Linked DNA regions of Xenopus tropicalis. The protein of the gene in region 1 interacts with the protein of each later gene in a pairwise test. Links are inferred from orthologs where the notes say so. Each region holds a gene or a part of one and is shown in the gene's direction. Other genes may lie near its edges.

Region 1 (4,060 bases):
CTCAATAGATCAGCAGGAAACACAACTTTTTAAAGCACAATCCTTCTATATCTAGAGGAGTATAATTCACTGGTACATTCATAATTTTTATAGGATCTGTCTCCTTTAACTTATTGCAACTGTACCTTGTATTTATGGTTATACTTTGTATTTATCTATTCTATTGTACAGCGCTGCATACATAAGTAGCGCTTTATAAATAAAGATATACATGCATACTTACAATATCCTTACATTTTACCATAGGGGGCAATATTTACTATTTAGTATTTACATAAGAGCCATGATTTTTTTTTTATAATTTGATATTATGATATTGTTGTATATTGTGTTGTGTATTATAAAAACCCCTGTTATAACATGATGAGGATGTAAGATGGAGTCCCTATATATTGGCCTGCTGCTTTCATAAGGTCATAAAACTTTTTGCTGACTTCTAACATCCTTTAATTTTAGCAGATGGTTCATTATTCCCTAAAATACATTTTATTACAATAAAGTTATAAAGAATCAGGGACAGATGAATAGTGGCTTTGGCTCTGGACATATTGCATTGTATGTATATTTTTATTTATAAAGCGCTACTTATGTACACAGCGCTGTACAGTAGAATACATTAATACAAACAGGGGATTATTAAGATAATAATAGATAAATACAAAGTATAACAATAAATACAGATAGATACAAGATAAATACAGTTGCAATAAGAGTCAAAGACACAAGAGGATGGAGGTCCCTGCCCCATAGAGCTTACAATCTATATTGCTCTTGGCCCTGATCCCCCACCAATTTGGAGTAATGGACCTTTGGACCTTGCCATTGCCTAGATAAAACCTGCGACTGTTCACAACAGGCATACATATATGTATTTTATTCCGTGCAAAGGTTTCCCCTACCACGTATCTAATATTCACTTCCAAGACTCAAATGAGACAGTGGTGCTCATTTACGCCAGTAGTAAAATGTTGGTGTTACCAATCACAGCAGTAGTTTAGTTTTGATTAGTCTACCCTAAGATAGAAACTGACAAATACGTGATTAAAACGGCTCATTTCACCCAGCGGCCTGATTACCGAATGGGAGCGCACTAGTTTTGGTCGGCAAGAAGCACAAACACGGCTTTTTAAAAGTCAGAATTCTAACTTGTCAAGAGAACCCGCCCCCTGCGCTCCATAGTCGCTGCTCCAATGACGCATTTCCGGAAGGTGAGGTCAGATCTTTCCTGTGCCGCCATTTCGGGATTGGTGAGGTCGGGATCGGTAGTTAGAAGACTGGTTGCCGCGTCTGGTTTGGGGGCGGCGTCTTTTGCCGCCTTAAGCCGGTGGTAGTATCGAGTACCGGGGCGCTAGGGAGAGGCCCATAGGGGGAGGAAAGCCATGGCGGGCAACTTCGACTCCGAGGACCGGGCGAGCTGGTACTGGGGCAAGCTGAACAGACAAGAGGCGGTCAATCTTCTGCAGGGCCAGCGGCACGGTGTGTTTTTAGTTCGAGACTCCACAACTATACCTGGTGACTACGTATTGTCTGTCTCTGAGAACTCCAAGGTTTCCCACTATATCATCAACAGCGTCAGCAACAACCGGCAGAGTGGGACTGGTGAGTAGGGGCTACATGCAGCGCATGTGAGGTGGGGGCGGCTGCACTAATACCGATAAATAGAATATATTTTGCATTGCATGTGTTAGTGAATTGTAGAGGCGCAGCTGCCAGGCACTTACAGCAGAAAGCCGAGGGCCTATTCCCTTTGCATTTATTTCTCTTATCCAAACTGCTCATAGTGACTAAACACTGGTGTGTGTATATATATATATAGATATAGATATATATAGATATACATTTATAATATAGAAAAATGAAATGCATGCAAAGGTTTTCCGGTATTGGGTGCACTGGGGGCATTAAACTCATTTGTAGGCATTTGAGCTTGTGAGCAATTAGTTTGAGAGCCACAGTCCATCCTTATTATATGCCATTTGTCACTGAGTCTTAGAATTAGAGCCATGTTATATCCCTGTTTAGTTGGGGCGCAGTGGTAGCCCAGTTTTTGGTTTTTAATTACACAGAACTTGTAACATTTTTGATAGTGACTGTCTATGGCAACTCACAGTAGCCCCTCTGGCATTTAACAGAATAGACCAGGGATCCCCAACCTTTTATCCCTGTGAGCCACATTCAAATGGAAAAAGTGTTGGTGAGCAACACAAGCATGAAAAAAGTTCCTGGGGGTGAAAATAAGAGCTATAATTGGCTATTTGGTAGCCCCTATGTGGAATGGCAGCCTACAGGAGGCTCTGTTTGGCATTACACTGGGTTTTTATGCAACCAAAACTTGCCTCATAACCAGAAATTAAAAAATAAGCACCTGCTTTGAGGCCACTGGGAGTTGGGGAGCAGCATGTAGCTCACGAACCACTGGTTGGGGATCACTGGAATAGACAGATTGCCAGTCCAGGCCTCATAGTCATCTGTGTTCCAGATTTACTGAATGGACAACTGCTCCCAGGTCATTATAGTGCAAACAAGGAGTTGGATTTAAAATTGTAAGTTTGTGAGCAGACTGGTTTTTTTTCATATTTCAATTATGTAGAGGCTTTCCGTGATTTCATAGGAAATAGTTGTGTTAGTGGTTTGCATACCTGACCTCAAAGTGTGTGTTCAACTTCCTTAAACAGGAACATCCAACAAAAGGTTTTTCTTTTGATTTGGTGAATGCATCCGTAAAAATCCCTTTTAGTGTTGATAGCAAATGAGAAACCACTGATTCATAGTCTAGGTTGCACTTTGAATGGCTTCCTTTGATTTTCTGAAAAATAAATAAAAATTGCACTGTGGCTCAATCTTTGTTTTTTCCAAAGACACTATTGCAACATACCCCAAGCAAAATCTCTGCGCCAAACGTAGGTAAAATTTGAATTTACAACAAACAAATCAGTCGGTTCCGCAAATCTTGTTTTTCATTTAACTTTGCTGCTTCATTCTGCCCCCCCCCCCCCCCCCCCATGGAATTAAAATGTGTTGAGGAATTCCCCAGTATTACAGTTCCTTATTTTATGGGACAATGCTTGTGGGAAACTATATTGTCACATCATCTTTACTCAACTTATTTGTTTATATAGGTCTTCCACTGTGCTTTTATGCACAATTATTAAGATCTAAGTCCAAGCACCAAAGAGTTTATTGTCCAGATTTGTGCTTTAAGAATTTGGGCACATTTTGTACCCTTATTCCTTTCAGGAACAAAACCCTCGTGCACGCTAAGCAGCTACTACTTTGGAACTGGGCACACACTTTATATGAGAAATGCCCGAACTACCATATAGGGAACAATCACTGGCATACCCATGCAATCCTGACCTGGCAGCGCCAGAGTCTACCATTGGTAGTACATTTCCCTTCAAACCTACAGGAAGCAGCTGCAGGCAGGGAAAGTCATTTAGTTGTGGACTGAAAGATAAGCGTTTATTTTCTTTATAGTGATACAATTAATATTGTGGGCCAGTTGCTGAAACTCGTAAAACAGTTTCTTCCAATCCCGTAACTTTAATAAGAAACGTTTAGTTAATTTGTAAAATCATGAATCATTTTGCTTATAAAAGTCCCCTTAGCACACAGTGGAAACAATTCATGCTTGTCCATGACACATGGATAATTTTCTTAGCAAGTGTGGCCCAATTTCAGAGTAGTGAAGGGCCATCTCTCTCTCTCTTTTTTTTTTTTTTTTTTTTTTTTTTTTTTTGTTAATTGTATGTGGAATAGGACATACTACATTCACACTGTCACCCAATGGTTTAAGTTGTGGGAATAAAGACCAGATTGTGCTCTTCACTTTTACATGTGTGTATTGTGTGTTCCAGTGCTACTTGTTTGCATGACACATCTGCAATGATTCTGAGTATACATTTTGAGTATAAATTACACTATATTTTTACTGGATTACCTGGAACCCATACAAAATACAGTACTTTTTCTTCATTTTTTTTATTTTTAATGTTTCTACCATATTTTAATTAGCATTCTTAAAATCCATGCAGTTTTTTTTTCTTGCCTGGTGGAGAAA
Region 2 (3,525 bases), on another chromosome or scaffold:
GTTTGTTGTGGGAGAGGGAATTGGACATACAGAACGTAACTGGACTTGGAGTGGTTGAGGGATGGGTAAGACTACATATGCTAGCAGGTACATTGCCCATTAATTAATCTCACTGCCCCCTGTCTTAGCTGGCATTTAACAGACTAGATTTGTAAAGTACCAGCCAAGTGTCAACCCCAAGTTTCAGCAAATAAAATTCATATTCATGGTCATAATTTTTATCAGGGGCTTGTGATTAAATCTATTGAGTAGCAGGGGCTGGCCTGGCATCCCCTTAATCACTTGGGATTCCTTCTCCTCCTATAATCCACTTGGCCCCCTCCCTTAGGTACTGACTTTGGCTCTTGGCTTACTGAGCATGCTCAGTTCTCCTCAACTCAGGTTACCAAACTCACCCTCCAGTCTAGCAGCCAATGAAGAGTTGGCATTGCTGGTTACCATAAAAAGTCTGTTCTAGCTGTGCACTCTGCTGGAGAAACATGTGTTTTCTCCTAACTTCCTCTCCTGAGCTCAGTTTAACCATTACAGTGCTCAGTCCAAGCAGGGCCTTTTGTCAAAGTAAGTTCTGCCCGTGTAAGCCTGCATTCTATATTGCATGAACTTTACAGCACATATGTGCTGTTTGTTGATGTAAATGTCACTGAAGATGTGTGAGAGGGAAAGTGGCTGCTGGTTGAAAGTTGCTATTTGTTTTAGGAAAATGTGATGTTCCTGGCGAACAGAGGGGATATATGCAGTACAAATGGTGTAGTTGGGGGTGAGCGAGATGTGCCCAACTTATATACATCGTAAGAAAATTTAGGGGTTAAATTACAAAGTTTGGACATTCAAGGGAGCCTGAACTAAAAAGTTTGATAGCCTCTTCCTTCAGGTTGTTATGATTATGAGTGTGTGGGGACCACCTATTGAGTGATTTGGCCAATAAAACTCTAGTGCGATTCCCCATAATTACAGAGTTAAGTCAGTTGTTTTACTAAAAGGAGGCTGCAGTCAGTCAGAGCGGACTCAGGACTGGTCCGATTGCCATCTTGGAGTCAGGAAGGAATTTTTTCCCCTCTGTGGCAAATTAGAGAGGCTTCAGATGGGGTTTTTTTGCCTTCCTCTGGATCAACTAGTAGTTAGGCAGGTTAGGTATAGGCATTATGGTTGAACGTGATGGACATATGTCTTTTTTCAACCCAACTTACTAAGTTACTCATAGACCCTTCATGACTCTGAACCATAGTACTGTTGCATCTCAGAAGACCCCCATATAATAAACGCCCATAAAATAACTACACCGAAGCTCTATAATGAGAATATAATCAGCCATTATTGTGCTGAAAATGTTGCTTCCATTTCAGCCCAAGAAAATCAGCTTATCCAACTTCGGGCAGCTGCGGAAAAAGAAATTCGACGAGACAACAGACTACGTGTGCCCGGTGGACGCTACAAACGGTACCCAAAGGGGCTGCGCTGATTTTAAAGTGACGAGCGCGAGCTCCACCAAAGAGAACGACAAAGTGGAGCAGGTGGGCAGACTGGTTTGATGGCATCCGGCATCCATTCCCATAATCCTCAGTGTTTCTCAAATAACTCTGCATCTTCATTTGTCTCATCTTCCTACCCTCACATACATGGCATCACTATGGGGGCGCTGACTTTTATTCCCCCCCATATCGTTACCAAGGCAACAGACAATTCCATAGCATCTTTTTTTTCTCCCAAGAGGCTACAGGAGCACCAAGTAATGCCCCGCCCAGTACGCCTGCGTTCTGCCTTAGCCACAAGTATTTAAATATCCCAATTCCCTATTCCCTAAATATCCCTATTCCAAATATTTTTTATTTGAGTGAGAGAGAAATTGTCACCCCAAAAGATGGTTAAATGAAACTGATGTAACATAGTGTATATAGTTGAAAAAGAAGGAAATTAGGGATATAAATGGAAGTTATGAAAGGTTAATGTACTCTGTGTATAAGGAGGATTTTACATTTACTTTTATTTTTCTATAAATATTCAGTAAAACAAATTTCCATTGGTTCTTGTGCCCTGGGAGTCGTCTTTTTTTTTTTTTAAACCTTATTGCTCCAGTGAGGCCACTTTATTCATAAACCTCAATGATCCAGTGGCCCTGACTTTAGTCTAAAACTGGTAGCGGCATCTGCCCCTATTAGTAGCCCCCATTAAGGACACCCATGTTTCCCTCATCCTTTATATAATAAAGGAGAAGGAAAAGTAGGATCCCTGGTGGGTGCCAGGGAAAATCCCAGTGGGCCCCATCAACCCACATTCAATCCCCGCCAACACTCACCCAGCGATCCCCCACTGGCCGCCTCCCCTGAATGCGGCAAAAGTAAGTATAAGCTGCACGTAGTGGGAGGAGCTGGTGGTGGTAGATCAGGTGACGGGGGACCCTGAGGTAGCAGCCCAGCAGGCCTCGCACACCCCATTGAGACCCTAAATGACCTTATGGTGCCTGGCACCTTTACTTGCTAGTGCTAAGGCATCTCCTGTGTTGCCCCGGGGCAAGTTCATATACACTACAGAAATTTTGTGGCCAAAACCTGTGCATGTTCCCAACATCAATAGGAACAGGGGGTGCCTGGGACTCCACTCTGCCATGGAGCTCACAATTAGTCCCCCCCCTCACAACAAGTCCCCAAGCCAGAACATTTTTTTATAAGAAGAGGCATGCCAACCCAAGGTAGGAGGTAATTGATGAACAACTTGTACCCCCCTTCCCCAGTGATTCTACCTTACTTTCTCCTTTAATGGAAAATATTTTAGACTGAACAATCCAAGCCATCCTCACACACCCCAAACAATAGTGACTGCATTTGCATGGTGTTTGTGTGCCGTGTGTTATTAGAAAAGCATGAAGAGACCTTCCAGGGGAAATATGCACCAACTATGAGTCAACTGCTGGCAGACACTTGGTTGTCCAACAGGGCTCAAGATCAGAGGGGGCTCTTGGGCTGTTAATGCTTTTCCCCTGGCCCATAAATTACTATTTGCTGCCTACTGTACTTTTTGTGTGTGTGGCTTGGAAGGGGCATCTCCCAGGCAACCTGAGTTAACTGTATGGCATGCTGGGAAACATATGCACCTTGCAGGCTAGGTAAAGCACATTAATGGAGCCTAATGTTTCTGTAGTCCAAGAGTTGAAGGTCTACATGTTACATGGTGTTTGTTTCCATAACAAGTTGTTATCATCAACTGAGGCTGCTGTCTAAAATGTGACCGAGAGGGATGCTTTCCCATAGCCAACATGGGAAAAAGAAGTTCAAAGAGGCTCTTTAGTCTTATGGGAACCAATCACAGAGCAGAGACTTAAAGTCGACACCCTGAACATCTCCGCTTCTCTGCCCTCCTTACCCTTTGTGGTAATAATTGTCAGGATATCGGTCGAATCAGCCACCTGGAGTCTGCAGTTTATTACCCAAAATATAGAAATACTCCTCAACCCGTGTCAGTTTCCTATTTCAGCTATTTATAAAATTCCTATTCTACATAATCTTATTTTTAAAGGTTTACTTGTCCTTT
Region 3 (4,021 bases), on another chromosome or scaffold:
GAACTCACTCCCCCCCCCCCTTAAGAATGTGGATCTGAGCCAATCAGCAGAAAGCTGACTCATAGTCTAACTAACTGGGCATGTACACTTGGTCTGGATCTTGGTGCAGGAGCGAGGCATTATGGGAACTTTCTTTACACAGCCCAGTGTTTTTTCTTCCTGTTTGGCTTCTGATCATCTGAACAGGTGAAATATGGGGAGACTTAAGAGCACTATTGAGAGAACAGCAGCTTGAGATTAACTCTTTATTAGCCTTTCCTTCTCTTTTAATTTCTATTTCACCTCTTTTTACCAGTCTTATGCTTAGAATTATTGTCCTAAAAGACTGATGCACTCTTCAGATTGGAGCATAAGATATTTTATCTGGCAAATCAGAAAATACTTTTTTAATGAACTATGAATACGTCAGTCCCATGTAACAAAAAATGGGTGCAATTCACTATTTCTTTGCACTTCGCACACAGAGACATGTGGCCCTTTCATTTATACAGTGTTCTCCCTGCATAGGGCAGAAGTCTGTATTCAAGGTAGCAATGTGTGTGTGATTGGTGCAACTCTGACAGATTTTAGATCTGTCCCATTTAAAACTGTTGTCTACAAATGCACTGTTAGGCATGGTATATCTGTTTGATCCACAGGCAGATGCCCAGATGGCACACCAATATTATAACTAAAAAAATAAATTTTTTGGTTTAAGAATGACAGAGTGAATTATTTGCTATATAAACAGTGTCATTTAGAAATAAAAAGTACACTAAAAATCATGACAGAATCTCTTTAACATACTAAACTGTCACTTTTAAAAACTGTGTGAATAAAAAGTTGATTCAGAATAAGCAAACATTGTGAGCTTTCTCACGAAATTCTTTGTACACATCACACCACAATTTGTTCTGTACACTGGGATTAAAATATGAAGGAACATTGATAGTAAAAGAACCATGTAGTGCCTCAGGAATGCCTGTGGAGCCAGAGGAGCCGCAGCCTGCTGACGTATAGTTCCACAACCCATTGCCTCAAGACCTCAGAAGCCCTCTTCCCTGCAATGTAATACAACCTCCTTCCACAGAGAGCGCAATGACAAACCAAAGACGTTTCCACTGAAGGTCCTCTCTAGCCGCCTATGCGCAGAGATTCGCTTCTCGTTTGTTGCTTAGCTCCCCTAGCGGCTATGGCCCTTCCCGGCATTCCCTATGAGCAGCGGCTTCTCATCATGGCGGACCCACGGGAGAAGGCGCTGCAGGATTACAGGAAGAAATTGCTGGAGCACAAGGAGATAGATGGCCGGCTGAAGGAATGTGAGTGCTGGGTGAAACCCCGGGAAGTGTTCATCTCAGTAAAGCTAAGCTCAAGCTGCTGTTCTGTGTGAGCGCTTCATACATTTCATGCCCCAAGTCGCTTTGTCATGGCGGCCTGGGCCTTCTGCTGTCTGAAAGAAGCACAGTGTGGACACAGCTGTATAGGGGGTATCTGAGGATTTTATTCATGCTTAAGCCATTTTTGCCTTATACGGTAGAAGATGCTGATTGTTATTAACGCGAAAAAGCCGCACTTCGTGTTGAAAAGGTGCGATTTGTGCGTTTCTCTGCGGCTGATTCTGTGTACAGAGCAAAGCTCTGGGATCATGACACTTGGTACCTATTTAGGCCGGTGACACAGCGATACCGTACAGTCGTCTCCCCCCATAGGGATCCAGAAACTGCACCGTTTTAGCGCAATTATTGCCGTGTCACTGACCTGTTCCCTGTCACTGACCTGCCTCATTCGCTGCTGCTGTCACTACAGACTAGATTTGCTCACAACTGCAATGTTAATAATTGCACAGATTGGACAAGTATTTATTTACAGGTCCCCTCGTTCTAATAGTCACATATTCTTGTGCTGTTTTTCTCAACGGAAACCAACCAAAACTTTTCCGATTTTTTTGAATGCTTATGGATATTGGCTTCTGTTTCTGTGCTGTGTAAACCCCTCAGTTTTTTATATAAAACGCAGCTAAACCTTTTTATTTATTTATTATTGTTGTGCAGTTTGAGTCCAGTCAAGAAGCAGCAATAACATCAGCATTGTAATGCCTAGTTTAGTCTGATGCAAGTAGACTTGTGCACTACACACAGCACAGTCATTTGCACTGGTGGATCAGTACTGTAAGGCAGTTGCTTGGAGTGCATGGATATTGTGTAAAGGTGGTGATGTCATTCAGTTGTATTAAAGGGGATTTTTGTGATCAAATCAATTTTTACTTTGAATGTCTATACCTACTGAACTGTTACTTCCTATATTTATTATGTCTGTTAACTTGACAGAGGCAGGTATAAGCTCTGGCACCATGAGAATGATGCCAAAAACTCACTTGCTGTCTTTTGTTAGCAGCTGCAGGTGTCGGATTAAGACACTACTTATACTTACACTGCTGCTGCATGCTTTCCCCAGCCACACATCTAGTGGCCAGGCTGCTTTTTCCTAACCTTTTAGATTGTCCCCAATTTTGATTGTTCCCACCCTCCACTGATGTTCAGGGCTGAATCATCAGATATGGAGGTAGAAACAATAGAAATTCAAGTTTCAAGTTTATTGTCATATACAAATAACAATGAAGCATCATTACTGTAATGAAATTTTTTTGACCCGTGTTCCTCCCAACTTTACATAGACAAACAAAACAAAAAAAATACAAATATTAAATATAATAAAAGTGTGCAATAAAGGTACAAGTATTTACAATAATAAAATGCAATATTTGAAATTGTGCAGTGAGGATTTAAAGTGGCTTTGCTTAAAGTGACACTGGGAAGAGTCCAGTAGTTATGGGGAGTGTGTGTTGGTTTGGGTAGAATGTCAGCAGTTCAGAAGCCCGATGGCTTGTGGGTAGAAACTGTCTCTGTATCTGCTGGTGTGGGACTGGATGCTCCTGTACCGCCTGCCTGATGGTAGGAGCGTGAAAAGTCTGTGGCTGGGGTCAGAGAGGATCCGCTGCATCTTCTACCTCTTTCTGCCGATTCAGCCCTGAACATAGATTTTTGGGCGCTTCAATGGCTCCCGATCAAAATCTTTTAACCTGGCCAATCGATGGGTCGACCGATATCCACAGCCTTTTGCAATATCGGTCGCCTCGTCGATCTGCTGTATGTCAAATATTGTACAGAACGAGGTTTCGTACGATATTATCGGTGCATGTATGGCACACACCGATAATATTTAAACCAATTTAGGGAAGTTTAAATCAACTAAAGAGTTTTGGTTTCTATTTAAAGAGGGAGAACTACAACTGTATTTTCTTTTTTTGTAGTAAGAGAACAACTGAAAGAGCTCACCAAACAGTATGAAAAATCAGAGAATGACCTTAAAGCATTGCAGAGCGTTGGGCAGGTACAGCAGAATCTTTTTGTGTAGAAATATTCATGTGACTATTGGTTTAGTCGCAATTGTCTTATTTCTTTCCTTCAATTTTAGATTGTTGGGGAAGTTCTAAAGCAGCTTACTGAAGAAAAATGTAAGTTTCTTTTTATTATTATTTAATACTTAAGTAAATACTTTATCCACACAACTGTTTTGTCTTAGCATTGCACTTAACTATGTTAGCAGACCTTTTAAAATTGCAAACATTTATGGCAATGTTCACCCAAAAACAGCAGAAAGGGATACACAAGTAGTACATTCAGCTGCAGTTACATTCACAAATAACTACAAAACCACTGAAAACAATTAATGTGTATTTGAGCATTGGTTAAAATTATATTTTCCTTTATTGTGTGAGATCCCCTTTAACACATGACAATTAGAATTTGGCATTTTGTATTGAAGTTTTAATCAGAATGTGGTTTTGTGTTTTCAGTCATTGTTAAAGCAACGAATGGTCCAAGATATGTTGTTGGTTGTCGTCGACAGGTAATAAGATTTTGTCTGTTTTTGTTTTACATACTTAAAATGGTCATTAGCTACATGGCTTTTGTATAGATTAAAGCTATCTTAAATGTCCTTATTCAGCTAAAGTAAAACAGGCCATGCACGCCCTGATTAA
Region 4 (3,974 bases), on another chromosome or scaffold:
ATAATGGAAGACATTCCTCCAAATAGTCCCTAGTTATTATTTATTACTGCACCATATACATAAATGTTATTGAGTAATAGTTACATTTATCGATACTTTACCTGTGAGATTTATGTTTGACAGTTTATGAAATACCTTATTTCTCAGCATTCTAAGCATTCAAGCTTATTTCAACATTCTTCTACATTGTATCCGATTCTGCTTCTGGAGAATAACAATATGGTTATAAAATAGCCAAATATTACCTAAACCACTATACTATCTATCTATATATATACCTATCTATTCTATATATACCTATTACTAGTATCTGTTAGGAGAAATGGAAGAAAATAGGTGCAAAGTTTGCTCCAGATCTATTCAAATAAATAGCAATTAATCAGCAGTTAACATGCTGCAATTAAATACTCAAAAGTCATAAGGGTAATTTATAATAACAATACATGTAACAGTATTGTACATATTTTGTAAAAGCTTATAAGCTTATCTGTCATGGCTCCTGTGGGCCCAGCAGGTCAGCCTTATCCAGTCTTTAATGCATGCCACATCTTGATCCGCGTTTGGTTGCTCCCATTTCTCTCTCTTCAGTATGGACCACTGATGCTCACTCCGTCTTAAACTGAGATAGCTAAAGACACACCTTGGAGGAGTTCAAAACACAAAAAACATGCATTAAAAGAGTAGTATTTTTTCCCACTTTTTTAATACTTTTTTGTATATTGCTTGTATGCTTGTTTGAATATTCACTTAAAGCTGTGGCCCTACGCCCATTTTTGACCTACAGTTCAGTTTGGTACTGCAGCTAAACAACTGTGAGACATCCTTCTAACTACTTAAAGACTTATAATACATCTTAGGTACTTTTATTCATATCACCCCCCCAAAGGCCACCTTTAGTGTTGGTGGCTGATGGAAGATGCCCTCTATATCGCTTAATACAACCAGCCTGGACTGTTTGTTTGTACCAGGGGCAATGTTCAGCCAGGAAGCCGTGTGTACACTTTACTGTGTTTGCTGTTACTTATTGCAGGGCATTGGAACTGTGAAACAACAAAAAAAACCACTGCATGACATATATGAAGGAAACAAGCCATCTGCTTGCTGTGTTTTCCACAACCTATTATGTTTTACCACCAGAGGGTACTCTTCAGGGTCACCGAGTCTGTTAGCATGCTTTTCAGTAACCCTCTGTTCCCTGGAGAGAGGAAAAAAAAACACAACAGGTTAGAAAAGTCCTCAAACACTTGACACCTGCTGGACAAACAGTCAGAAAATCACAGGCAATAGGTGCCCTTGGTGCTGTTTCCCACAAGGCAGCAGCTGAAGCACCCAGGAAGTGAGCTGTAATAGAAAACGTCTTTACATGAAGGGGTATGCCCAAAGCTGAAAGTTTCAGGGATTTTCATTCCCTTATGAGATAGGAAAACACATTCACACAAATAGGACGGTGCCTTATTGAAAAAAGGCTTATGTGGTGGAATGAATTCCATTGTTCAGCCTGCTGGCACAGATAGGGTTAAGCCAGAAGCGATTTCCTACATGACGTGAACACGTAAGGTCTGCGTTGTTCCTCTCTGTGGACATTGAGCTTGGCTTGCCCTTACAATTCCTACTCTCTGCCTCTCCTCCACCCCTTCTTCTCTTTCCAACAGAGGCACACACCCTACAGGAATCAAACGTGTGCACGTATTAAAGTTACTCCGCGCTGCTGCTACGTCTCTGCTCGCACTTTCTTCCTTTAAATGATCCTGAAGAAGAATCCCGAAAACCTCTTTGTTTTTCTTTTAAGGGGAACACCCACATTTAAAACTGCACCCTCAGTAGCTGTAGAGATACAACAAGTATACGGCAGGCTGGCGGATCAGCACGTAGAAGGGGTTAAAGCCGACCGCCCCAGCTCTGTTGTGCGTATGCAATAATCTGTGTGGCTGCCTTGGCCGTCTGCCAGAGTGTTGCCTTGCCTCCACACACACTCTCTGCCCCCCCCCTTCCTCCCTTTTGCATGAAGTAGGATCCTTGAGCTGTTGCAGAGGCAGCCAACTGCTCCATATTTGGCTTCTATTACACATTTACATACTGGAGAGAGAGAGGGAGAGAGCTGTACTGCAGACATCATTTCTACTACAGTAGAGGAGACGTACAAGACCTGTCTTTCTGCGAGGGGGGGCAGAGTAGGAGGAAAAAAAAAGCAATAGCTCAGACACCCTCTTCATCCAACAAGCCCCTATACTGCACTTTACAGTAAGTCGATTTTATTTGTCTCTTCACTTTTCTGTTCTGATCATGCAGACCTTAGTGGGCAAGTGCTATACATGCATGTACTATAGCATTTCCATGTACAGAAGCTTCTCTGGGATCATCTGTAAGCCTTGCAGAACTACAGATCACAGGCTTATTTTTCCTGCTTTTTATACCCCCTGAAAGAAGCAGCGATAAGTGAAATCAGTCAGAGATACAGGCATGTATTTTTTCTGTTCGCTGAAATGATATAGTGCAGTGCCTACCAGGAGTGCACCATCGGTGCAAATGTTCTTGATGAGTGCCGCTGTCTGTGTTTCGTGTAGAGTGGGGCCTGCTTTCCATAGGAACTGAGAGTAATAGAGTGTTTTACCCTGATCAGTAATAGGGAGACTGCAGTAATTGCTTTCCCCATGGGGTAATGAAGAGAGCCAGTGTGAGTGTGTGTACGAGAGAGGAGAGCACACGTTTATGTCACCTCTCTTAGTCCCCTCCTCCTACTGTCTGATCTATCAGTCTGCTTCTCTTCTATGGAGACCACCTGGTTCCAGATTACTATAGAGACACTTGCACAATCTTGCCATTATTTTGATTGTAGGGTTATTCCATTATTCATGAACATAAAAGAACTGGAAGGGCTACAGATACAGAAAGCTAGAAGGCTGAATAGAGGTAATTAGGTAAATTAGGCATGCCCAACATGCGGCCCTCTTTGGCTGGACTACAACTACCAGCATCCCTGGCACTTCCCTGAAAGCAGCCATAAAACCTGGCTTACTAGGTATAAAATCCTTTCTAATATATTTTTTTTATTAATGATATTAAGCCATGTAGTTCAATGTTTAGTGAGCTTACATGTTTGTGATCAAAATTAAACAGACAGGGCTGCATTTTAGCTCTTATGTTGCACTTTCACTACATACAGTCCATATTATTATTATTATTGTTGCTCTACTTTGAATTCATGTAAATAGGCCTAACCAATGACAGAATGTGGTTAGGAATTTGCACAGAGCTGGCCTAAGTAATACAAGTTGCCCTACATTAAAGCCAAGGCATTGTGTTCTGAACCACGGCCTAGTGCTGATAGAAAGACAGGCCCGGAGCATTTGGCAGACAGACTGCTCCACCCCACAGTGCTGGGTTCTGTCCTCGCTGCTTTTACCCTGCCCTCCTGGAGAACAGTATGATCCAGTCTGCTCCTTCCAGAAACACTTTTATAAAAGTAACAGTTGCCATTTTTAAATATGACAGTTATTGTGCTCGCACAAGGCATGGATTTTTAGGAGTGAGCACATAAATTGCAATACATGCAAAATACTAAACTATATTGTGTTAAGAGGCTTATCTCAGTTAAAGCAGATCTACTTTGCAAGGGGATGGTTCCTCTGCTTATTGTGTTTTCAGGCATTAATGGCACTGGTATTATTGTTTAGGTTAATCAGGTTGTGATTACAGACAAAAAACAGTTGCAGAAAGCACAGGTATTTCTATATTCTATTGGCCTCCGTTTTAATGTGCAAAAATATTATAACAACCTAGAAGAGTCGTGTGAGCTGCCGAAACAAGAAGTATTTTTCTACATGACGCGCTTCAAGGCTACAGATCTGCTAGAGCATTTAAAAATCACTAGAATTGGGTCATTCTCTCTGAATGACGTGGAGCCATATGACAGTCTTATCTCATCTGAGATGTAGCTGTACATAAATGCTTGCCCAGTGTGGAAGCTCGCTTGG
Region 5 (4,114 bases), on another chromosome or scaffold:
GTGAATTGTGATTGGTGGTTTGTGGCCCCCGCCCACTTTTTCTAACCTTGAGTCGAAGTCACCCAATGAGAAACAGTGGGCACCCTGGCATAAATAGCGTGAGGATGGCAGCATTTTATATTAAAGCCAATGAAATTCAATGGATGAAATCTGATTGGCTGTTAGTGGCCCAACCCTTTTTTCCTATTTTTGAACTGCAGTCCCCCAGTGACCAACTCTGCTTTGGGGATTTCACCATTGAAAGTTGGTGGCTCCACCCACTTTTCCTAATCTTTAACCTTAGTCCCTAAGTAAACCCCAAGTTTGGGGACCCCCAGAGTTAATACTGTGAGACTGGCAGCAGGTTAGATTTCCCCATTGAAAGTCAATAGGTAAAATCTGATCGTAAAAAAAGCTGTTCGTAGCTCCGCCTACTTTTGGGGATCCAACAAATATCAATTTTCATTCAGGCTGAGCCCATGACTATGTGATTCAAGTTTGGGGTGTGTGGCCCCAAATCTGTAAGATTGGCAGCAGTTTCAATTTCCCCATAAAAGTCAATGGGTGAAATTTGATTGGGTGTTGTTGGCTCCTCCCACATTGGGGTCATCCAACTAATGTAGCTGTTTCATTCGGGGTGACCCCGTGATTATGTTATTCACGTTTGGGGGGTGTAGCTTCAAAGCTGTAAGTGCGGCAGCAGTTTGAAAATCTTCCCTGTCAAAGTCAATGGAAAAATTGGGGGGTTTGGAGCGGCGCCACAAAAAGACGGGGGGCGGGATCACTTAGAAAAGCACAAGCAGCCTGCTCCGCTATAGGGCGAAGATGTGTGGGGAGTTTGGGTGTTGTACCCCTAAAACTGTAGGAGGAGTAGCGTTTAGAAAACCAACATAATAAAGTACCCCCTGTTGACTAATATAAGGATATTAGGAATCACCTCAGAGTTCCATGACCTGTATAACAACCCTCTGCCTTCAGTCTCATCCCTTTATATGGAACTCCTCTGTGACTTATAAAATCCCTTCATTTTACAACAGGGGGTACTTTATTCACTACATATATTGAATACAAATTAAAAAAATATTGTAAAATATTAAATTATTGTTTAAAAGGGGAGGGACTGCCTCCCGGGGCCCCCCAGGCAGAACTAGCGCAGCCCCAGCCGCTACCTCAGTACTAAACATTACGTCACTGGTTTAAGGGCAATTATCGCGGGATGTTGGGAGGGAAATCCCGCAAGGCTAGAGCGGGTTGCTAGGCAGCCGAGGGGAATGCGGAAGTCTCGGGGGATAGGATTGTGGTAGTCTCGCGAGAGTTGGCTGGGCTGCGCCAGGCTGGGTTGCTAGGCTGCGGGGCGGAGGGCGGAGCTCGGTGACACAGAGGGGCGGGGATGTAGCAAGCCTTGCCCCTCGCCTCCCCACACTCCTCCACAATCCGAGGCCGGAGGCGACTCATCCCCCCGGGCCGGGGTCCCGGACCCTTCGTACGGATTATTGGATCGGCTGCTGTCAGACTCCCGGGCTGGAACCGCGACAGCGTCACCTCCGCGGCGCTCTCTGCCCCCTGTAGGCTCTCCCACAGCTCCCTCCGTACGGACCGAACCTCCTGCAGGAACAGCCGCAGCGTACGGTACCCCAGCGGGGCTCTCTGTGTCCCTGCAGCCTCTCCTGCCTTCCCCGCTGCCTCCGCTCAACCCCCCGCAGCCTATAGGGGCCCTGCATCCTGTGGGGAGCCCTCCGGCCCCTGGGGAGCCCTCCTGCTCCCTATAGGAACCCCCTGCATCCTGTGGGGAACCCCCCGGCCCCTGGGGAGCCCTCCTGCTCCCTATAGGAACCCCCTGCATCCTGTGGGGAACCCCCCGGCCCCTGGGGAGCCCTCCTGCTCCCTATAGGAACCCCCTGCATCCTGTGGGGAACCCCCCGGCCCCTGGGGAGCCCTCCTGCTCCCTATAGGAACCCCCTGCATCCTGTGGGGAACCCCCCGGCCCCTGGGGAGCCCTCCTGCTCCCTATAGGAACCCCCTGCATCCTGTGGGGAACCCCCCGGCCCCTGGGGAGCCCTCCTGCTCCCTATAGGAACCCCCTGCATCCTGTGGGGAACCCCCTGGCCCCTGGGGAGCCCTCCTGCTCCCTATAGGAACCCCCTGCATCCTGTGGGGAACCCCCCGGCCCCTGGGGAGCCCTCCTGCTCCCTATAGGAACCCCCTGCATCCTGTGGGGAACCCCCCGGCCCCCCATATAGCCATAAAGGATTCCCTTGTTGGAGCTGCAGTGTCTCTGTGCCCCCCCTGTGCCAGCTGTACCCCCTTTCCTCTCTGTATCACATAATAGCCTGCACCCCCAAATAGCTGAGGGGTTCTTTGTATGGTTAGTATTGCAATGTCTTCTGCCCCCTGACTGTATGATTTGCCCCTTAGTTACCCGTTACTGTCCCCTGCTGGGGTCCCTTGTGCCTATCACTGTACCCCCAGTCCTGTCTCCTATCTGCCTGCACCCCTTCTTTGTAAGGGAGATCTGTGCACCCCTCCTTCTCTCATGTGATGCCAGGTCCCCCCTTGTGTGATGTGCACCCCGCGCGCCCCTAAATAACTGGTTACTGTTCTTCTATTTCTCCCCCTCGTACCCCAGTCTGTCATCTCCACTTGTCAGGTGCCCCCCAGGATCTGCACCCCATAACTCCTAGCCCCCCACTCACTGGTTTGGTGCCCTATTGTCTTTCACTGCATCTTGGGGCCCCCGCCACCTTCCCCTTGGGGCCCCCGCCACCTTCCCGTTGGGGCCCCCGCCACCTTCCCGTTGGGGCCCCCGCCACCTTCCCGTTGGGGCCCCCGCCACCTTCCCGTTGGGGCCCCCGCCACCTTCCCGTTGGGGCCCCCGCCACCTTCCCGTTGGGGCCCCCGCCACCTTCCCCTTGGGGCCCCCGCCACCTTCCCCTTGGGGCCCCCGCCACCTTCCCCTTGGGGCCCCCGCCACCTTCCCCTTGGGGCCCCCGCCACCTTCCCCTTGGGCCCCCCGCCACCTTCCCCTTGGGCCCCCCGCCACCTTCCCCTTGGGCCCCACCGCCACCTTCCCCTTGGGCCCCTGCCCTTTGCACGATTCAGAACCTTTGGGTTCGTTCTTACTCCCCCCCGCGCCAAATTCTTCCTCCTCGGTGTCAGATCCCAGAGACATTTATATAATCCCCCCCCCCAGCTTTATTCTCTGCATTTATTCCCTATAATTCATAATTTGTTCTTTGCCCCCCCCCCATTCTTCGCTTTGCACCCTCTCTTACCTGCACCCTCTTATTTAGTGCCCCCAGTTCTACCCCGGTCCCCCCCCCGCGCGGGCTCCAGTATGAGGGTCCCATTGTTACCGTTGGGGCGGCTTCGTTGGACAATCCATGGGAACTAACGGATCATTTGGGAAGCAGAACCCCCCCTTGTGCCGGCTGATCAAGAACCCAGTTCCTCCCAGCTCACTGCAGAACTCGGCCCTTATATGAAGGTAAAAGGTGTGTAGTTTCCTCGCTTTATTCCCCTTCACCCCTCAAATGCTTGCTGCACCCCCAAATTGTGTTTTTCAGGGGGGCAGTTATTTTATAGAAAATGTTGTGCATTAAGTATCATTTGGGGTGCAGTTCTGTCCCAGTTCTAGTAGTTAGAGGAAGAATGATCCAACCTGTGGCCCTTCTGAATGGCCTGGGGCCCTCCTGCTGTTGGGGGGTGATTGTGCTACTGGAGGGCCCCAAGTTGTGCCCTCAGCCTACTATACAGTGGCCCCCACTCTGCGGGCCCCGGGTAGTTGACCCGGTTTGCACCTCCCCAGCAGTTGGCTGGAAATAGATTGCAGTTGGTTTCTATGGGCAAAATAGGTCATTTCTACAAAAAACCTGTTTCTAGGCAGTTCCAAGCAGCGGCGACGGATCCCTCCCCGAGGGCTTCCCGGGATGAGCAGCTGGCTTCCCTTCACTGGGTCCGGAACTACATTTCCCAGAAGCCCCTGCTAGCTGTGATTTATAGTTCATTTAGGGGGTAGCCCATATTTTGGTGGAAATCAGGGTTTTTCTGTTGCTTTCATGTACAGGTATGGGATCTGTTATCCAGAAAGGTCTGAATTACAAGAAGGCCATCTCCCATAGACTCCATTATAAGCAAA
Region 6 (3,525 bases), on another chromosome or scaffold:
GAAGAAAGAAATCATCAGACCCAAGGGTAATGTAAACTTTACTTTGCTGGTTGGTTTCCTTGCTTTTGCCATGGAACAGTTAATGTGACAATGGCACCTTTTCATTTTTCTGTTAACATTCACTAGACCTGCCTGTACTCTCAAACATACGCTATATTTCTAAAAAGTATCCGAGCACCTGACTCGCCAATATGTCTTTCAAAATTCAAAGGCATTATTATTAGTGATGAGTAAATCTGTCCCGTTTCGCTTCAGCGAAAAATTAGCGAAACACATTTGCCCGCATCCTTTTTGGTTGTCCGCCCTTTTTTTGATGAGATCACGCCAAATTTTTCCACAACGAAGTTTTGCAAAACTATTCGGCAATGGCAAAATATGGAAATTTGCTGTGAATCCATGCCTGGTGAAAAAATTTGCTCATCACTAATTATTATGAATAGTTTTTCTCTCTTTGCTGTAATAGTAGCCTCTACTCTTTGTGGAAGGGCTTTTACTTCAAGAGCAGCCACAATAGCAAAATACTGAGATTAGGCATTGCTGTTAAATGATCATGCCTGACTTGCAGCTAGCATTCCAGTTCATCCCACGTGGCTTCAGTTCAAACTAGTCAAGTTCTACCACTCCTATTTTGGCAAACCAGTTTTGTACAATTCTGCGTTGTGTGCTTCAGACCTGTTATAGTAAAAATGTCAAGGGGTTTTCCCATGTCTCAAGCATGGAATTGCCAAGAATGTCACATATTTTGTATTGTTAAAGGAGAAGGAAAGGCAAAATCTATTAAGCACACTATTAAAAAGTACTACTATTGCTGTGTAAAAACGCTATATTCCAGCGTGTCTCTATGGGCTGAAAAGCACAAGCCAGCTCCCTGCTCCTGTCACAAAGTTTCTGCAGCTCCACAACCCCCCCCCCCCCCACTCCTGCCACAAACCCCCCCCAAGCTCCACAAACCCCCGCTCCTGCCATAAACAATCGGCGCTCACAGCACCAGCTCGCCCTCCCCCTCCTGCCTGTCAGAGAACTCTGCGACGCTGGGTTGCCTAGGCAACCAGACGCTTCTTCTCTCTGCCCACGCGCTGCCTGCAGTAACGAGTCTCTAAGTCTTGGGAGAGCGATGTAGTATGGGAAATCTTCTCTACCCAGCTCAGCGTTTTTTTTTCTTTGTTTGGCTTCTGATCTTCTGAACGGCTGAAGTATGGGGAGCCCCCCCCCCCCCAAAAAAAAAGATAGATATTTTTTATTGTTGGTATTAATAATACTGTCATTCTTCATTTCTTTTGTAAGGAAAATTATATTTTAATAATTTTAATTTAGGGGTTTTACCAGTTTATGGCAGGTGCATTGTGTTCTCAAGCATCAGAGTTGTGTCTGCAGCTTATCCGTAGGGGACAGTGAAAATTGGTATTGCAGGTTGCTTTTGAACATGATATCCAATTTGAAAAATCTCTCCAAACTATTTTGTTTTATAATGTGCATTGCAATTCTATTTCAGATTCAGTACTCAGGATTTATTTTTCTTATTTTTTTTTTTTTTCAGAGACTTCAGGAGGAATGGCATACAATTCAAAGCCTAGCACAGTAGTGCATCTCAAGTCTGAATCCTCCCCCTCTTTTAATGGCTTTAGGAAGTATCCTGATGCTCATTTCTTTAGTAGTCAAGGGAAAGGTCCGTACAAGCAAGAAAGACCAACGAGCCAGCCTAGACAATCTTCTTCTTTTAATGCAGGGCATGCCACAATTCCTGAATCCAAGCAAGTGGCCAGGGTGAAAAACAATTTTTCAGCTGGTTATGATACAGACAGTAGTCAGGAATACAGAGAAAAACCAAACTCCAGAAATAAAAAAACTTGGAAGCCTATGCGGGAGACACTTAATGTGGATAGCATTTTCAATGACACTGATAAAAGCCAACATAGCCCAAGACATTTAGTAGGCTCAAATGGAAAACAATCTGCCAGGGATCATAGTTTTAACCCACCATCAAAAGAGAGCCCAAAACGTAATACTCTGATGACTATCTTTGAGGATGAGATAAAACAGGAATCTGGCAGCAGGAGTTCCTTGGAATCATTAGGAAAAAGTCAAGCAGATCGGAACAAAGTTACTGCAGATATGAAGATGTACCACCTTGACAACTGGCAGAGAACTGAATCTGGATATGAAAGTAGCGATCACATCAGCAGCGGGTCAAGCAATCTGGATTCACCTATTATTGAAGGGATTGGTTTTGCTGATGGGAGGGGCTTGCAAGAAACCAGCCTGTGCAGGTATGCAGGTTACATTAACAATACAATAACAATATCAAGTTCCTAACATTTTTACTTGATAGAGAACTGGCTGAAGGATAGATTACAAAGAGTGAGGGTAAATGGAGCATTTTCTTATTGAGCCAGTGTTGTTAATGGAGTACTGCAGGGATCTGTCCTTTGCTTTTTTACTTGCTTGATTGGTAACCTTGAGGTTGGCATTGTAAGCACTGTCTTATTGTTTGTTCATGATACTGAAATGTACAAAACTTTAAGCTCTATGCAGGACATTTTCAGGATTTGACTAAACTGAAGAATTGGGCAGCAATGTTGATAAGTACTCTTTGGTAAAAATAAGAATGCTAATTATATACATAATAGAAGTTTGTTGGGGGTCCTTAATTGAGAAGGATTTGGATTTGTGGTAAAAAACAGCAGACTTTGCTGTTCAGTCAGTATCTTCTAAGTTTAATAAGCACTCTCTCGTACAGGACATTTAAACACTGAGCACAGGTAAAATTCGAATTGCATCATTTCATCTGCACGCTGTATTTTCATGTGCTCCCTTCAGTACAGCCCAGTTCTTATGTGTTCCTGTTCCATTTATATTTATTATGTAGTCTTATGACCCAGCAATTCCCCTTTAAATAAGTAAGTTCATGAAAACTGCCAGTAGAGACTTGCCATTTCATGCCTGTAATACTGACTTGCGCTATTGCTGATTAGTCTTTTTGTTCAGATGCATACTGCATTTGTATGTATGTATGAAAATTGCATTGTTCAGAATTGCTCCAATATATCTGGCATAGCTGTGTGCTTAATTAATGGAATGATATTTCAGCACATCCATCAAACAAGCTTCATTTCCATAAGATGCCCATTCTAAAGCCATGGCAATTAGTGGCATTCAAAAAATCAATCAGGTGATGCCTTAGGCTCATGGTACATGGGTTGATTTCTCTACTGGCTTAAATACACTAGCAGAAACAAGCCTATCCACTGGCCTCCACGCCTTGTATGTGTGTGCCCTGGCAGGCACAGTATTAGCTTGCCAGCTGCACAGTGCTAAAAAGCTGAAGTGTTCATTTTCCTGCTGACCGGTTGATCCCATGCCGTCTGCACACAATTACAAAGGGGTGGAAGGCGGTGGATTGGCCCTTAGGGGTCAGGGCAATAGCTGCTATTGTACCTTTAATAAGGGCTATGACACATGCAGCTACTTGTAATTAGCCATTACAAAATGTATATACCCAGGCATAGACAATACCGAAAATGTTTA

The links.
Region 2: the proteins of crk (region 1) and ppfibp2 interact in binary tests that used the Homo sapiens proteins (3 or more experiments, as listed by UniProt). The link is inferred for Xenopus tropicalis from reciprocal best matches to the Homo sapiens genes CRK and PPFIBP2.
Region 3: the proteins of crk (region 1) and psmc6 interact in binary tests that used the Homo sapiens proteins (3 or more experiments, as listed by UniProt). The two-hybrid records come from large-scale screens. The link is inferred for Xenopus tropicalis from reciprocal best matches to the Homo sapiens genes CRK and PSMC6.
Region 4: the proteins of crk (region 1) and atxn1 interact in binary tests that used the Homo sapiens proteins (3 or more experiments, as listed by UniProt). The link is inferred for Xenopus tropicalis from reciprocal best matches to the Homo sapiens genes CRK and ATXN1.
Region 5: the proteins of crk (region 1) and ptpn4 interact in binary tests that used the Homo sapiens proteins (3 or more experiments, as listed by UniProt). The link is inferred for Xenopus tropicalis from reciprocal best matches to the Homo sapiens genes CRK and PTPN4.
Region 6: the proteins of crk (region 1) and usp53 interact in binary tests that used the Homo sapiens proteins (3 or more experiments, as listed by UniProt). The two-hybrid records come from large-scale screens. The link is inferred for Xenopus tropicalis from reciprocal best matches to the Homo sapiens genes CRK and USP53.

The regions. Positions count from the first base shown.
Region 1 is NC_030678.2:46,102,793-46,106,852, reverse strand, and holds the start of crk (adapter molecule crk), read left to right. Parts: upstream 1-1,251; 5' UTR 1,252-1,379; coding exon 1,380-1,599; intron 1,600-4,060. UniProt on the Homo sapiens protein: Involved in cell branching and adhesion mediated by BCAR1-CRK-RAPGEF1 signaling and activation of RAP1.
Region 2 is NC_030680.2:16,389,696-16,393,220, reverse strand, and holds part of ppfibp2 (liprin-beta-2), read left to right. Parts: intron 1-1,343; coding exon 1,344-1,511; intron 1,512-3,525. UniProt on the Homo sapiens protein: May regulate the disassembly of focal adhesions. Did not bind receptor-like tyrosine phosphatases type 2A.
Region 3 is NC_030684.2:94,536,131-94,540,151, forward strand, and holds the start of psmc6 (26S protease regulatory subunit 10B), read left to right. Parts: upstream 1-1,200; 5' UTR 1,201-1,213; coding exon 1,214-1,298; intron 1,299-3,289; coding exon 3,290-3,369; intron 3,370-3,453; coding exon 3,454-3,493; intron 3,494-3,835; coding exon 3,836-3,888; intron 3,889-4,021. UniProt on the Homo sapiens protein: Component of the 26S proteasome, a multiprotein complex involved in the ATP-dependent degradation of ubiquitinated proteins.
Region 4 is NC_030682.2:93,271,126-93,275,099, forward strand, and holds the start of atxn1 (ataxin-1), read left to right. Parts: upstream 1-1,174; 5' UTR 1,175-2,241; intron 2,242-3,862; exon of another isoform or gene 3,863-3,974. UniProt on the Homo sapiens protein: Chromatin-binding factor that repress Notch signaling in the absence of Notch intracellular domain by acting as a CBF1 corepressor. Binds to the HEY promoter and might assist, along with NCOR2, RBPJ-mediated repression. Binds RNA in vitro.
Region 5 is NC_030685.2:88,032,521-88,036,634, forward strand, and holds the start of ptpn4 (tyrosine-protein phosphatase non-receptor type 4), read left to right. Parts: upstream 1-1,313; 5' UTR 1,314-1,603; exon of another isoform or gene 1,604-1,608; intron 1,609-3,269; 5' UTR 3,270-3,457; coding exon 3,458-3,470; intron 3,471-4,114. UniProt on the Homo sapiens protein: Phosphatase that plays a role in immunity, learning, synaptic plasticity or cell homeostasis. Regulates neuronal cell homeostasis by protecting neurons against apoptosis.
Region 6 is NC_030677.2:70,829,438-70,832,962, forward strand, and holds part of usp53 (inactive ubiquitin carboxyl-terminal hydrolase 53), read left to right. Parts: coding exon 1-26; intron 27-1,537; coding exon 1,538-2,267; intron 2,268-3,525. UniProt on the Homo sapiens protein: Deubiquitinase that mediates 'Lys-63'-linked deubiquitination of tight junction proteins, such as MARVELD2 and LSR, and which is involved in the survival of auditory hair cells and hearing.